2 linked regions of the Drosophila melanogaster genome follow. The protein of the gene in region 1 interacts with the protein of each later gene in a biochemical or structural test. Each region holds a gene or a part of one and is shown on either strand. Other genes may lie near its edges. The genes, in order: CYLD and Ubi-p63E.

What was found.
Region 2: of the proteins of CYLD (region 1) and Ubi-p63E, one has a biochemical effect on the other in vitro, tested with the Drosophila melanogaster proteins (2 studies listed by BioGRID).

What each region holds. Positions count from the first base shown.
Region 1 is NT_033779.5:10,295,263-10,301,619, reverse strand, and holds CYLD (cylindromatosis), read left to right. Parts: upstream 1-1,772; 5' UTR 1,773-1,873; intron 1,874-2,399; 5' UTR 2,400-2,415; coding exon 2,416-2,576; intron 2,577-2,630; coding exon 2,631-2,839; intron 2,840-3,206; exon of another isoform or gene 3,207-3,491; coding exon of another isoform or gene 3,492-3,597; exon of another isoform or gene 3,598-3,642; intron 3,643-3,683; coding exon 3,684-3,915; intron 3,916-4,013; coding exon 4,014-4,189; intron 4,190-4,249; coding exon 4,250-4,404; intron 4,405-4,463; coding exon 4,464-4,682; intron 4,683-4,760; coding exon 4,761-4,995; intron 4,996-5,054; coding exon 5,055-5,196; intron 5,197-5,251; coding exon 5,252-5,448; intron 5,449-5,509; coding exon 5,510-5,703; 3' UTR 5,704-5,761; downstream 5,762-6,357. Other genes in the region: CG13138 (uncharacterized protein), read left to right, coding at 1-1,398; hand, read left to right, coding at 6,321-6,357.
Region 2 is NT_037436.4:3,898,633-3,904,705, forward strand, and holds Ubi-p63E (Ubiquitin-63E), read right to left. Parts: upstream 4,553-6,073; 5' UTR 4,372-4,552; intron 4,289-4,371; exon of another isoform or gene 4,223-4,288; intron 4,076-4,222; exon of another isoform or gene 3,895-4,075; intron 3,419-3,894; exon of another isoform or gene 3,221-3,418; intron 3,139-3,220; 5' UTR 3,128-3,138; coding exon 836-3,127; 3' UTR 799-835; downstream 1-798. Other genes in the region: Ccz1 (Caffeine, calcium, zinc sensitivity 1), read right to left, coding at 1-165, 230-327, 383-466; Sc2, read left to right, coding at 4,909-5,279, 5,437-5,653, 5,874-5,989, 6,052-6,073.

The sequences.
Region 1 (6,357 bases):
AAGCAAGGCGATAAAATGACGAGGAATAAACTGAAATATAAGCCATCTGGTGCTCGAAGAAAAAATGTGAGTCCCAATTATGCGGATGAGAGTACGGAAAGTAGGCATTATCATACATTCGAAGAGATCCACGAGCATATCGATGAGGACGATGGTCAATACCAGGCATCCGAACAGGTCGGAACACAAGCGATTCTGCACGAACATGTCGAGCACTCGAGTAAGAAGGATGCGAAGCGGATGAAGGTGAAAATCAAGCATCATCATCACCACCATCATCACAACCACATAAAGGAGCTGATCAAAACAGTACCACAACCGTATCCCGTGGAAAAGGTCGTCCATGTGCCCATTGAGAAAATTGTCGAGAAGATCGTACATGTGCCCAAGCTGGTGAATGTTACAGTTGAGAAAATAGTGCACGTGCCTATCGAAAAGATAGTGGAAAAGGTGATTCACATCCCAAAGCCAGTCCAAGTGCCCAAACCATATGTGGTCGAAAAGATAATTGAGAAAATAGTCCACGTACCGAAACCGTATCCAGTGCTCCGGACTGTTCCGTATCCGGTCGAAATAAAGGTGCCAGTTCATCTCGAGAAGAAGGTACCAGTGCCCTATAAGGTTGAGGTAGAACGAAAGGTTCCCGTTTACATTCGTTCCAGCGAGCCATATAAGTTCGAGTCATCATCACTCTACGAAAGTTATCCACGCGGCGAGGAGTTCAAATTTAACATGGAAATGGATCATCCACCGCCCAGAGAACACGAACCATCCAGCCTACCATCCTCAAACTACTACAACAGGATATACAAATCTAGGGAATTGGATCATCCTCCGAGGATGGAGGACTATCAAAGCTCCGTGCCCACACAGTTAAAGCACGATTACGCAACGAAAACTAATCTCGATCAGCAGTTTAAAAACGAGTACGTGACGAAAAGTAGTATTGATCCTCAATTTAAGCACGATTACGTGACGAAAAGTAGTATTGATCCTCAATTTAAGCACGATTACGTGACGAAAAGTAGTATTGATCCTCAATTTAAGCACGATTACGTAACAAAAAGTAGTTTTGATTCGCAGTATAACCAGGAATACGTACCCAAAACTAGCATTGAATCGACTTCTCCTGGACGGGATGGGGTTTCCCTGAAACTCGTCGGTCCCCCTACTCCTTTCAATATCACGGGAAAGGATTTGGAGACCGCCAACTCTGCTCCAGACTTTGTCAATAGCTCCAACGTAGACCTAAGTCCACAGGAATCGGCTAATGCCTATCGCGGTATGCCATTCTCCATACCATTTCAGTTTGTACAACTCCAACCAATGGCCTTTCAAAGTCCTATACATGTGGAACTGCCAATCCAATCCGCTTCAGCAGAAGGTGCTCAAAAGTGATAATCTAATCAAATGTTTAGCGTAAATAATCCTATTCAGAGAATTATTATATACCTGACAGACTTTTAAAAGACTTTTTCCCCACAATAAAAAAAATGCTAAAAAATAAGTTGCTTAATATAAAATATAATGCATATTAGAATATATAAAATTGTTTATTTTGTTGTTGTTAAAAGTTTATGATAAAATTCATAAGCAATAAAACATACTAAGCCTAACAAGCAACGACAAACAAATCGCAATATACTGTTACATATTCTATATAATAAAACCGTTTTTAAACCGTTATTACTTTGTTTTTTTGACTGTATTGTATTTTTTTGGTTCAAGATTACCCCCAACAATTGTCGATTGCGGTAAAATCGATAACGATATCCAGAATTCATTCCAATCGCATTCTAAAAGACACAAATTTTATAAATACTAAACAAAAATCCAGGATATAAACACCTTTTTATTTGTTAGTTCAATTTATGTGTGTTTGTATTAAAACTCAAACAGGGTTGCGCTAAAAACTTAATTGGTCATTTGGTATTTCAGCGAACAGCAATATTATTAAACCAATGTAGTCGCGATTGTTGTGTGTCATTGTTTTTATCAATTAGGGAAAAGTTGCTAACGAATTGTGTTTGTTATGCATGTATTTCCTGTTACTTGTTCTGTGCAGTCCTCCTTGGCAAATAAATATTTAATGCAAGATTGAAATTAGCGTAAAAACAATGGAATGTTTATTGAACTACTGTTACAGCAACCTGATGTCTCTTACATACTTACGTGCATATGTACATATGTATGTAAGCGACTGCAAACTAAGCAGTTACAAACAGAATCCGTCACATCGAGTATCATTGATTATTTCGTTTAACAGTTTTAACTCGACTGTAGAATACTCTCTGCCAAATATATAGCATGCTCTTTAAAATTTTTCATAAAAAAACACTTATGACCAATACATTTTGTATATCCTTTTTATTTAATTACTAATACAAATGTTATTATAGCCTTTAGTTGGAAATAATGAATTCCAAATCCGATTATGAAGCAGAAAAAGAAAAAAAGCTGACCATAACAAATAGATTCGGGGACTCCCTGGAAAACTATGAACTATCCAACGAGAGCGAGCACAAGACCCATGTATACCCGAAAAAGATTCCTAACAGAAAAAACGGAATTTTAAAGTACGTAGTAAAACTGTTTCAATTCATTTAAAGCTAATAATGAGCGATTTTTAGAAACACCGATGCCAACCATAGTGCCGTCGATAATCAACATCTTGAGGATGTGGATTTGGCAGACATTTTGGGCACAAATTGGCCAAAACGAGCGGGACCAGCTGCAATGATCTTAAACAACAAAAGTAAAACGGATCCTAGTAATTCTGTAGACTTAATTTTAAAACCAGCCTCACCCATATTAAAAATAGAGCCGGAGGAACCTTTACGTAAGTTTATTTTACTGTCATTTCTTCAAAAAGAAAAGAAATATATCATTATTAAGAACTAAGGAAGGAATCTGTTCCGACCTGCTACATTCTTGGTCAGGTTTACTAGCTCTCTTAATCTTAATCCTGTTTGTCCGTCCATATAAATAACGAGATCTCAGGAACTGTAAAAGCTAGTTCTAGTTAGTGGAATTACTCAAGCAGTCTTCTGTACTGCTTGCAAAAGACATTCAAATTCTGCCTGCTACATCACTCCTTGTGCTGGTTGTCTATTTTCAAGTGTATCGCACTTCTTTTAGCTGAGTAAACAGGTATGTAATAGTCGCTTCTTTCGAATATAGCGTTCACTGTTATTGAATCTTTTATTCTCGATACTTTACAGTTGTTGTAAGACTTGTATTCACTTTGCTTCCTTGCAAAAGACAACGAAATGAAAACGTCTATTTATTTATAGAACGCCGGCCAAATACATAACGACACATACATATATTCTATTTACGTTCACGTAAAACGGCAGTTCTCTGAGTTGATATATGCAGTTTGTCGAGGAGTTTTATTTGTTCTGCACTTTATCAAAGTTCTCAATTGCTGAAAAAAAAAAAAACATAAAAATTAGTAAAGAAATTAAAATTGTGCTGTGCGTCTTTCAAAAATGAATATATACCAACAAAAATTGTCTTCTGACTCGGATATCCACAATAATATTCCATTAACAGTGCTAGAATTTTATTCACCAAATTTATTGCCCGAAGAACTTGGTATGATCTATTATGAAATCGTTCCGCTTTTTTTAATTTGATTTTCTAAGAAATTAAAATTTATTTTAATTTTATTCTTGTCCTAGGTTTTACAATCGCTGATTATCAACCTCTGATTGAAATACCTGGAACCGAGCTAGCGATTGGTTCCCTCGTCGAAGTCTCGAATCCTGGAGTATGTGAAGATCTATATGGCGTTGTGAGATGGATAGGTATACCGCCTGGCCCGCAAAAAAACGTACTCGTCGGAATCGAGGTAGAAGACGAATCCAACTTGAAAAATGTAGTGGCATCGGATGGGAGACACAATGGCGTACGGTATGTCATACTTTTAAACATTTAAAACACATAAATAGGTACTCATACAAGAAAAACTCTTAACTGAAAAATATCTTCTGTGTTGTGTTTTGTTTTAGCTTATTTACTTGCCATGATGGTCGAGCTATTTTTGTACCAGCCAACAGATGCACCGCTGACCGGCGATTTGCTGATGTAGATAATAGCATTTCTGCAAACAGAGTTTCTAGTAATCACGCAAAGAAATTTGGCGTCGCTGACTGTCCTGCCATATATGGCTCGATACCACCATTACGTAAGATAACAATAAACATTTAATAAAGGAAAGGAGTTCATGCAGCTATTTGTTTTCCAGAAATACACAATTCCGATGAGCTTGCTAGCATATGTGGAAAGTTCAAAGGAATACAAGGACACCATAATTCCTGCTACCTTGATGCAACTCTATTTTCCATGTTCACTTTCACCAGTGTTTTCGATTCAATTCTGTACAGACGTCCGGGCCCACAAGTAAGTTATTCGATTTGTCTGCCCAGCTCACCAATAACAAATTATTTTATTTTCAACAGGATATTCGAAATTACAGTGAGGTTCAAAAGGTTCTGCGCGATGAGATCGTCAATCCATTGCGAAAAAACGTTTTCGTTCGATCCGATCGTGTGATGAAACTGCGCGAGCTCCTAGATCAGCTAAGTTCGGTCAGCGGTCTCACCTGCGAGGAAAAGGATCCTGAAGAGTTCCTAAATAGTTTGCTCTCACAAATAATGCGAGTTGAACCGTTTCTAAAGGTGCTTATTGTACTCATTATTGCATAGATTTTTATACTAAATAATTTACATGTTTTTTTTTTTTTTTTTTTTTTGTAGCTAAGCTCGGGGCAAGATTCTTATTTTTACCAACTCTTTGTGGAGAAGGATGAGAAGTTAACATTACCGAGTGTGCAACAATTGTTTGAGCAAAGCTTTCACTCATCGGATATAAAACTAAAGGAGGTTCCTTCTTGTTTCATCATTCAAATGCCTCGTTTCGGAAAGAACTACAAGATGTATCCAAGGATATTGCCATCGCAGGTTCTTGATGTCACAGACATAATTGAAAATTGTAGGTGTTCAACAATATAACAATTTGCATTTCGAATCTTAACAAAATTCAACTTGCAGCTCCTCGACAGTGCTCACTTTGTGGCAAACTAGCTGAATACGAGTGCCGGGATTGCTTTGGCAGCTTGCAGGCTGGATCAGGACTGGAATGCACCGCCTTTTGTCCAAAATGTCTCAAGACATTTCACAGTCACATCAAAAGGTCAGCTATCTTCATAGATAAATGAATGAAAACCAATTAAAAACCTATCTTTCAGAACGAATCATGTGTCGAAGAAGATTTATAGTCCGAAGGAATTTAAAATCATGGCCGAGCACATGGTTGTCCCGCGATTGTACATGGAGTTATTTGCAGTCGTTTGCATAGAAACATCTCACTACGTGGCATTTGTCAAGTCTGGATCCGGACCAGATGCTCCATGGTGTTTCTTCGATTCAATGGCTGATCGAAAAGGCAAGCAAAATCTTAGTTTTAACCTAACAAGTTTCTTATACTTACGCAAATGTTATTTCAGGCGAACAGAATGGATACAATATACCTGAAATTACGTGTGTTCCAGAATTAACACAGTGGCTCTCGGAAGAAGGCGCACGATCTATAAATGAAACTTCAACGAACGATAAAGTATTACCTGAACACGCCAAGCGTATTTTTTGCGATGCCTATATGTGTCTGTACCAAAGCACAGATATAATGATGTACCATTAGAGCAAATTTATCAATAAATTAAATGAATGCAATAAAATTTTTGTAAAAATCACATGTGAAATGGATTTTGTGCCTATTAATGGTTATTGGTTTGTTGAAAAATATGTTTTATGATATTAATATGGGTAGGCTTTACATATATAACAGGAAAAAATAAAGATAGGTGGTTTTCTATAACTAATATACCAAGTAGCTTATATTTTTTTTACAAAAAGTTTGTAACAATTAGGAAGTGCTTTTTGTTAGGAGAAGTTTTCAAGGTGACTCCAGAAACAGGACTGAACCATCTAGAGAACTACGGATCACTAGACCATGAAAGGCAGTTCATATTCCGGATATATATGGATGTATGTATACACGGGAGTACATACATACATATAAATCTTGAAGTGCCCACCATTGGTCGACGCAAAACGTCGGCGATTGCGATTGGTGGATTTGGAGGGAGGATATCCAGATGTTGTTCACTCGACGGCGCACATTCACTAAACAAGTGAAAAAGTTTTTCAGTTACTTGCCAGACATCAAAGACGAGTTTTACGTGCGACGCACTATCTGCGAAAATGTCGATCTTAAGCCGCGAATTTGATTTGAATTTAATTACGTTAAATTAGAAAATGTTTAAGAATTCCGTTGCCTTGACGTGCGAATACT
Region 2 (6,073 bases), on another chromosome or scaffold:
ATCTCGGCACCCCGATAATCGGCCACCTCCACGCCCTCCTTTAAGCGCACCTCCTTGGGAACATTCAGGACCAGTACTAACCAATACCCTGGCTCGGGTTGGTAGAAGAGTTGTGTGGTTTTCTGGGTATGCAAGGCCTGGCAATCATCTTCAGATGTAAAAGTTCTGCAAGTACAGCAAACTCTGTATTATTACCCACTTCCCTCTATGTAAAAAGTTCCATAAATACCCAGTGAACCTTATGATGGCCTCACTTAGTCCCACATCTTTGATTTTCGTATTTAATTCAATGTCATTTGGATGGTAAAACAAAACCTTCTTGTGTTCCTGAAAAAAATTACTCATTAGGGGCGTTTCTTAGCCTTAAAATTGATTTGCCAACCTCGCCTTCAACTTGGCCAAAAGTCGAGTTAAAAATGTAAAAGCTGCGTAACGTAATTTCTACGCGTTGCAATAATTTAGCCATTTCTTTCCGCACAGAATTAAAAGTATTTATTTTGGCCAAAGGTAAATAATGAAAAGGTACTAACGCGTCCGTGTTTGCCAACCAGGGTTACATTTTACCAAATGTAGTGTGCTAGTATATACCAAACGTTTCCAGTACCAAATTAAAAAAAATACCACACAATTAATAAGCGAATTTAAAGCTTTTTCATTTATTTTGGAATTTAATAGATTTAATAAAATTTATGTCATGGCGTTTACTGAAATTTAGAATTTTTCTGATGTCTTCCCTTTTGACAATGCAGAAAGGAAAGTGGCCATCCATAATCTCCTCATATTTATTTAGAGTGAAGTGCGTGCTAAATTGTGTTTATTTGGAAATGTATTTAGTTTAAGCCTGGATTCCTCCACGGAGACGGAGCACCAAGTGAAGGGTCGATTCCTTCTGGATGTTGTAATCGGACAGGGTGCGTCCATCCTCAAGCTGCTTGCCGGCGAAGATCAGACGCTGCTGATCTGGGGGAATTCCCTCCTTGTCTTGGATCTTAGCCTTAACATTCTCAATGGTGTCCGAGGGCTCTACCTCGAGGGTGATGGTCTTTCCGGTCAAAGTCTTCACGAAGATCTGCATACCACCACGGAGACGAAGGACCAAGTGAAGGGTGGACTCCTTCTGGATGTTGTAATCGGACAGGGTGCGTCCATCCTCAAGCTGCTTGCCGGCGAAGATCAGACGCTGCTGATCTGGGGGAATTCCCTCCTTGTCTTGGATCTTAGCCTTAACATTCTCAATGGTGTCCGAAGGCTCTACCTCGAGGGTGATGGTCTTTCCGGTCAAAGTCTTCACGAAGATCTGCATACCACCACGGAGACGAAGGACCAAGTGAAGGGTGGACTCCTTCTGGATGTTGTAATCGGACAGGGTGCGTCCATCCTCAAGCTGCTTGCCGGCGAAGATCAGACGCTGCTGATCTGGGGGAATTCCCTCCTTGTCTTGGATCTTAGCCTTAACATTCTCAATTGTGTCCGATGGCTCTACCTCGAGGGTGATGGTCTTTCCGGTCAAAGTCTTCACGAAGATCTGCATACCACCACGAAGACGAAGGACCAAGTGAAGGGTGGACTCCTTCTGGATGTTGTAATCGGACAGGGTGCGTCCATCCTCAAGCTGCTTGCCGGCGAAGATCAGACGCTGCTGATCTGGGGGAATTCCCTCCTTGTCTTGGATCTTAGCCTTAACATTCTCAATGGTGTCCGAAGGCTCTACCTCGAGGGTGATGGTCTTTCCGGTCAAAGTCTTCACGAAGATCTGCATACCACCACGGAGACGAAGGACCAAGTGAAGGGTGGACTCCTTCTGGATGTTGTAATCGGACAGGGTGCGTCCATCCTCAAGCTGCTTGCCGGCGAAGATCAGACGCTGCTGATCTGGGGGGATTCCCTCCTTATCCTGAATCTTGGCCTTCACATTCTCAATGGTGTCCGATGGCTCTACCTCGAGGGTGATGGTCTTTCCGGTCAAAGTCTTCACGAAGATCTGCATACCACCACGGAGACGAAGGACCAAGTGAAGGGTGGACTCCTTCTGGATGTTGTAATCGGACAGGGTGCGTCCATCCTCAAGCTGCTTGCCGGCGAAGATCAGACGCTGCTGATCTGGGGGAATTCCCTCCTTGTCTTGGATCTTAGCCTTAACATTCTCAATTGTGTCCGATGGCTCTACCTCGAGGGTGATGGTCTTTCCGGTCAAAGTCTTCACGAAGATCTGCATACCACCACGAAGACGAAGGACCAAGTGAAGGGTGGACTCCTTCTGAATGTTGTAATCGGACAGGGTGCGTCCATCCTCAAGCTGCTTGCCAGCGAAGATCAGACGCTGCTGATCTGGGGGAATTCCCTCCTTGTCTTGGATCTTAGCCTTAACATTCTCAATGGTGTCCGAAGGCTCTACCTCGAGGGTGATGGTCTTTCCGGTCAAAGTCTTCACGAAGATCTGCATACCACCACGGAGACGAAGGACCAAGTGAAGGGTGGACTCCTTCTGGATGTTGTAATCGGACAGGGTGCGTCCATCCTCAAGCTGCTTGCCGGCGAAGATCAGACGCTGCTGATCTGGGGGAATTCCCTCCTTGTCTTGGATCTTAGCCTTAACATTCTCAATTGTGTCCGATGGCTCTACCTCGAGGGTGATGGTCTTTCCGGTCAAAGTCTTCACGAAGATCTGCATACCACCACGGAGACGAAGGACCAAGTGAAGGGTGGACTCCTTCTGGATGTTGTAATCGGACAGGGTGCGTCCATCCTCAAGCTGCTTGCCAGCGAAGATCAGACGCTGCTGATCTGGGGGGATTCCCTCCTTATCCTGAATCTTGGCCTTCACATTCTCAATGGTGTCCGATGGCTCTACCTCGAGGGTGATGGTCTTTCCGGTCAAAGTCTTCACGAAGATCTGCATACCACCACGGAGACGAAGGACCAAGTGAAGGGTGGACTCCTTCTGAATGTTGTAATCGGACAGGGTGCGTCCGTCTTCCAGTTGCTTGCCGGCGAAGATCAGACGCTGCTGATCTGGGGGAATTCCTTCCTTGTCTTGGATCTTAGCCTTAACATTCTCAATGGTGTCCGAGGGCTCTACCTCGAGGGTGATGGTCTTTCCGGTCAAAGTCTTCACAAAGATCTGCATTTTGGATTATTCTGCGGGAAGAAAATAGAGATGTGGAAAATTAGTACGAAATCAGACGAGTTTCGTTGAAATTACAAAACTATTGAAACTAACTTTCTGGCTGGGGAATAAAAATGGGAAACTTATTTATCGACGCCAACTTTGTTGAGAAACCCCTATTAACCCTCTACGAATATTGGAACAAAGGAAAGCGAAGAAACAGGGAACAAAGGGTAGTTGAGAAACCTTTGTTCCGTTGCTTCGTCATCGTTTTCGTGTTGCGAGTGTGTGCATGTATGTATACACAGCTGAAATGCATGCATACACATTATTTTGTGTGTATATGGTGACGTCACAACTACAAGCAATAAGAAATTTTCAGACGTGGCTTTGTTTAAGCAACCTACTCTATTTCAGCTAAAAATAAGTGGATTTCGTTGGTAAAATACTTCAATTAACTAAACAACTAACTAATAACATGCACACAAATGCTCGAGTGCGTATGTGATTTCTCGAATTTTCAAATACGTCACTGCGAATTTCACAATTTGCCAATAAATCTTGGCGAAAATCAACACGTAAGTTTTATTTATAGATTTGTTTGCGTTTTGATGCCAATTCATTGGGAAAACGAGATGCGTGGCTGCCAATTTCTTATTTTGTAATTACGTAGAGCGTTGAATAAAAAAAAATGGCCGAACAAAGACCTTGAAATGCAGTTTTTCTTGAAATTACTCAACGTCTTGTTGCTCTTATTACTAATTGGTAACAGCGAGTTAAAAACTTACGTTTCTTGTGACTTTCGAGAATGTTCTTTTAATTGTACTTTAATCACCAACAATTAAGTATAAATTTTTCGCTGATTGCGCTTTACTTTCTGCTTGTACTTGCTGCTGCAAATGTCAATTGGTTTTGAAGGCGACCGTTCGCGAACGCTGTTTATATACCTTCGGTGTCCGTTGAAAATCACTAAAAAATACCGTAGTGTTCGTAACACTTTAGTACAGAGAAAAAAAATTGTGCCGAAATGTTTTTGATACGTACGAATACCTTGTATTAAAATTTTTTATGATTTCTATGTATCACTTTTTTTTTGTGTTTTTCGTTTAAACTCACCACAGTACAAAACAATAAAATATTTTTAAGACAATTTCAAATTGAGACCTTTCTCGTACTGACTTGACCGGCTGAATGAGGATTTCTACCTAGACGACCTACTTCTTACCATGACATTGAATGCAATGCCACCTTTGATCTAAACTTACAAAAGTCCAAGGCTTGTTAGGATTGGTGTTTTGGAATTTAAGACCCTTGTTAGTTTGCTTTTGAAATAGCACTGTCTTCTCTACCGGCTATAATTTTGAAACTCGCAGCTTGACTGGAAATTTAAAAAGTAATTCTGTGTAGGTAAAGGGTGTTTTAAAAGTGTGATGTGTTGAGCGTTGCGGCAACGACTGCTATTTATGTATATATTTTCAAAACTTATTGTTTTTGAAGTGTTTTAAATGGAGCTATCTGGCAACGCTGCGCATAATCTTACACAAGCTTTTCTTAATCCATTTTTAAGTAAAATTTGTTTATACTCTTTCGGCAAATAATTGTTAAATCGCTTTAAGTGGGCTTACATCTGGATAAGTAATGAAAACCTGGATAATATATTAATACATATAATCCACTGTGCTTTCCCCGTGTGTGGCCATATACCTAAAAAAGTTTATTTTCGCAGAGCCCCGCACGGTCACACTACGGTTCGGCGATTTTCGATTTTGGACAGTACTGATTGCAAGCGCACCGAAAGCAAAATGGAGCTGGAGATTTTGAACGCGAAGAACAGCAAGCCGTACGGCAAGGTGAAGGTGCCCTCCGGCGCCACGCCCATCGGCGATCTGCGCGCCCTAATTCACAAGACCCTGAAGCAGACCCCACACGCGAATCGCCAGTCGCTTCGTCTGGAACTGAAGGGCAAAAGCCTAAAGGATACGGACACATTGGAATCCCTGTCGCTGCGTTCCGGCGACAAGATCTATGTGAAGGATCTGGGTCCCCAGATTGGCTGGAAGACCGTTTTCCTGGCCGAGTACGCCGGCCCACTGATTGTATACTTGATTTTCTACTTCCGACCGGAGTTGGTGTACGGCAAAGCTGCCAGTCTGCCGATTTCCCTAACCACCCAGTGAGTTTGTAGAAAGTAGTCTCTGAAGTCTTTCGATTGTCGACCTAATCGACCTCGTCGCTTATGCAAACTAAAACGCAACGGCTCTGCATAATTATCCCCGAACTTTGGATGGTGGTTCACCCAGTAACCCGCTTTCTTTTCTCTTTTGCCCCAGCATTGCCGCCGGCTGCTATACGGTCCACTATGTGAAGCGTCTGCTGGAGACGATTTTCGTGCACCGCTTCTCGCACGCCACCATGCCGCTGAGGAATCTCTTCAAGAACTGCACATACTACTGGGGATTCACCGCCTATGTGTCCTACCACGTGAACCATCCGCAGTTCACCTCGCCCTGCATGTGCACCGTTTGGGGAGCTCTTGGGGCATTCGCTGTATGTATCCGCGGCCATGGTTTATGGATCTGGGTTATATGTTTTCGTAATCTACCGGTTTCCTTTGCTTTTGTTCGAAACATTTGTTTCTTAATACCAAAGGTGTAGCTTTTTGTTAAAATTGGTCAAGCAATTTGTAATGTTATATGTGCTATATATTTGGGATCCATTAATCATATTTGCAGACCCACAAACTAAGCCGCACACTTTTCACTTTCAGCTCTGCGAACTAGGAAACTTTTCGGTGCACATTGCCCTGCGCAACCTGCGTCCGCCGGGAACAAAAGTGCGCAAGATTCCGGTGGCCGATGGAAATCCCCTCACCAAGCTGTTCGAGTAAGTGGTCACTAAAAAAACCCACAGCTCAAGTTTATTAATTCGCGCTCTTCGAACTGCAGCTTGGTTTCTTGCCCCAACTAC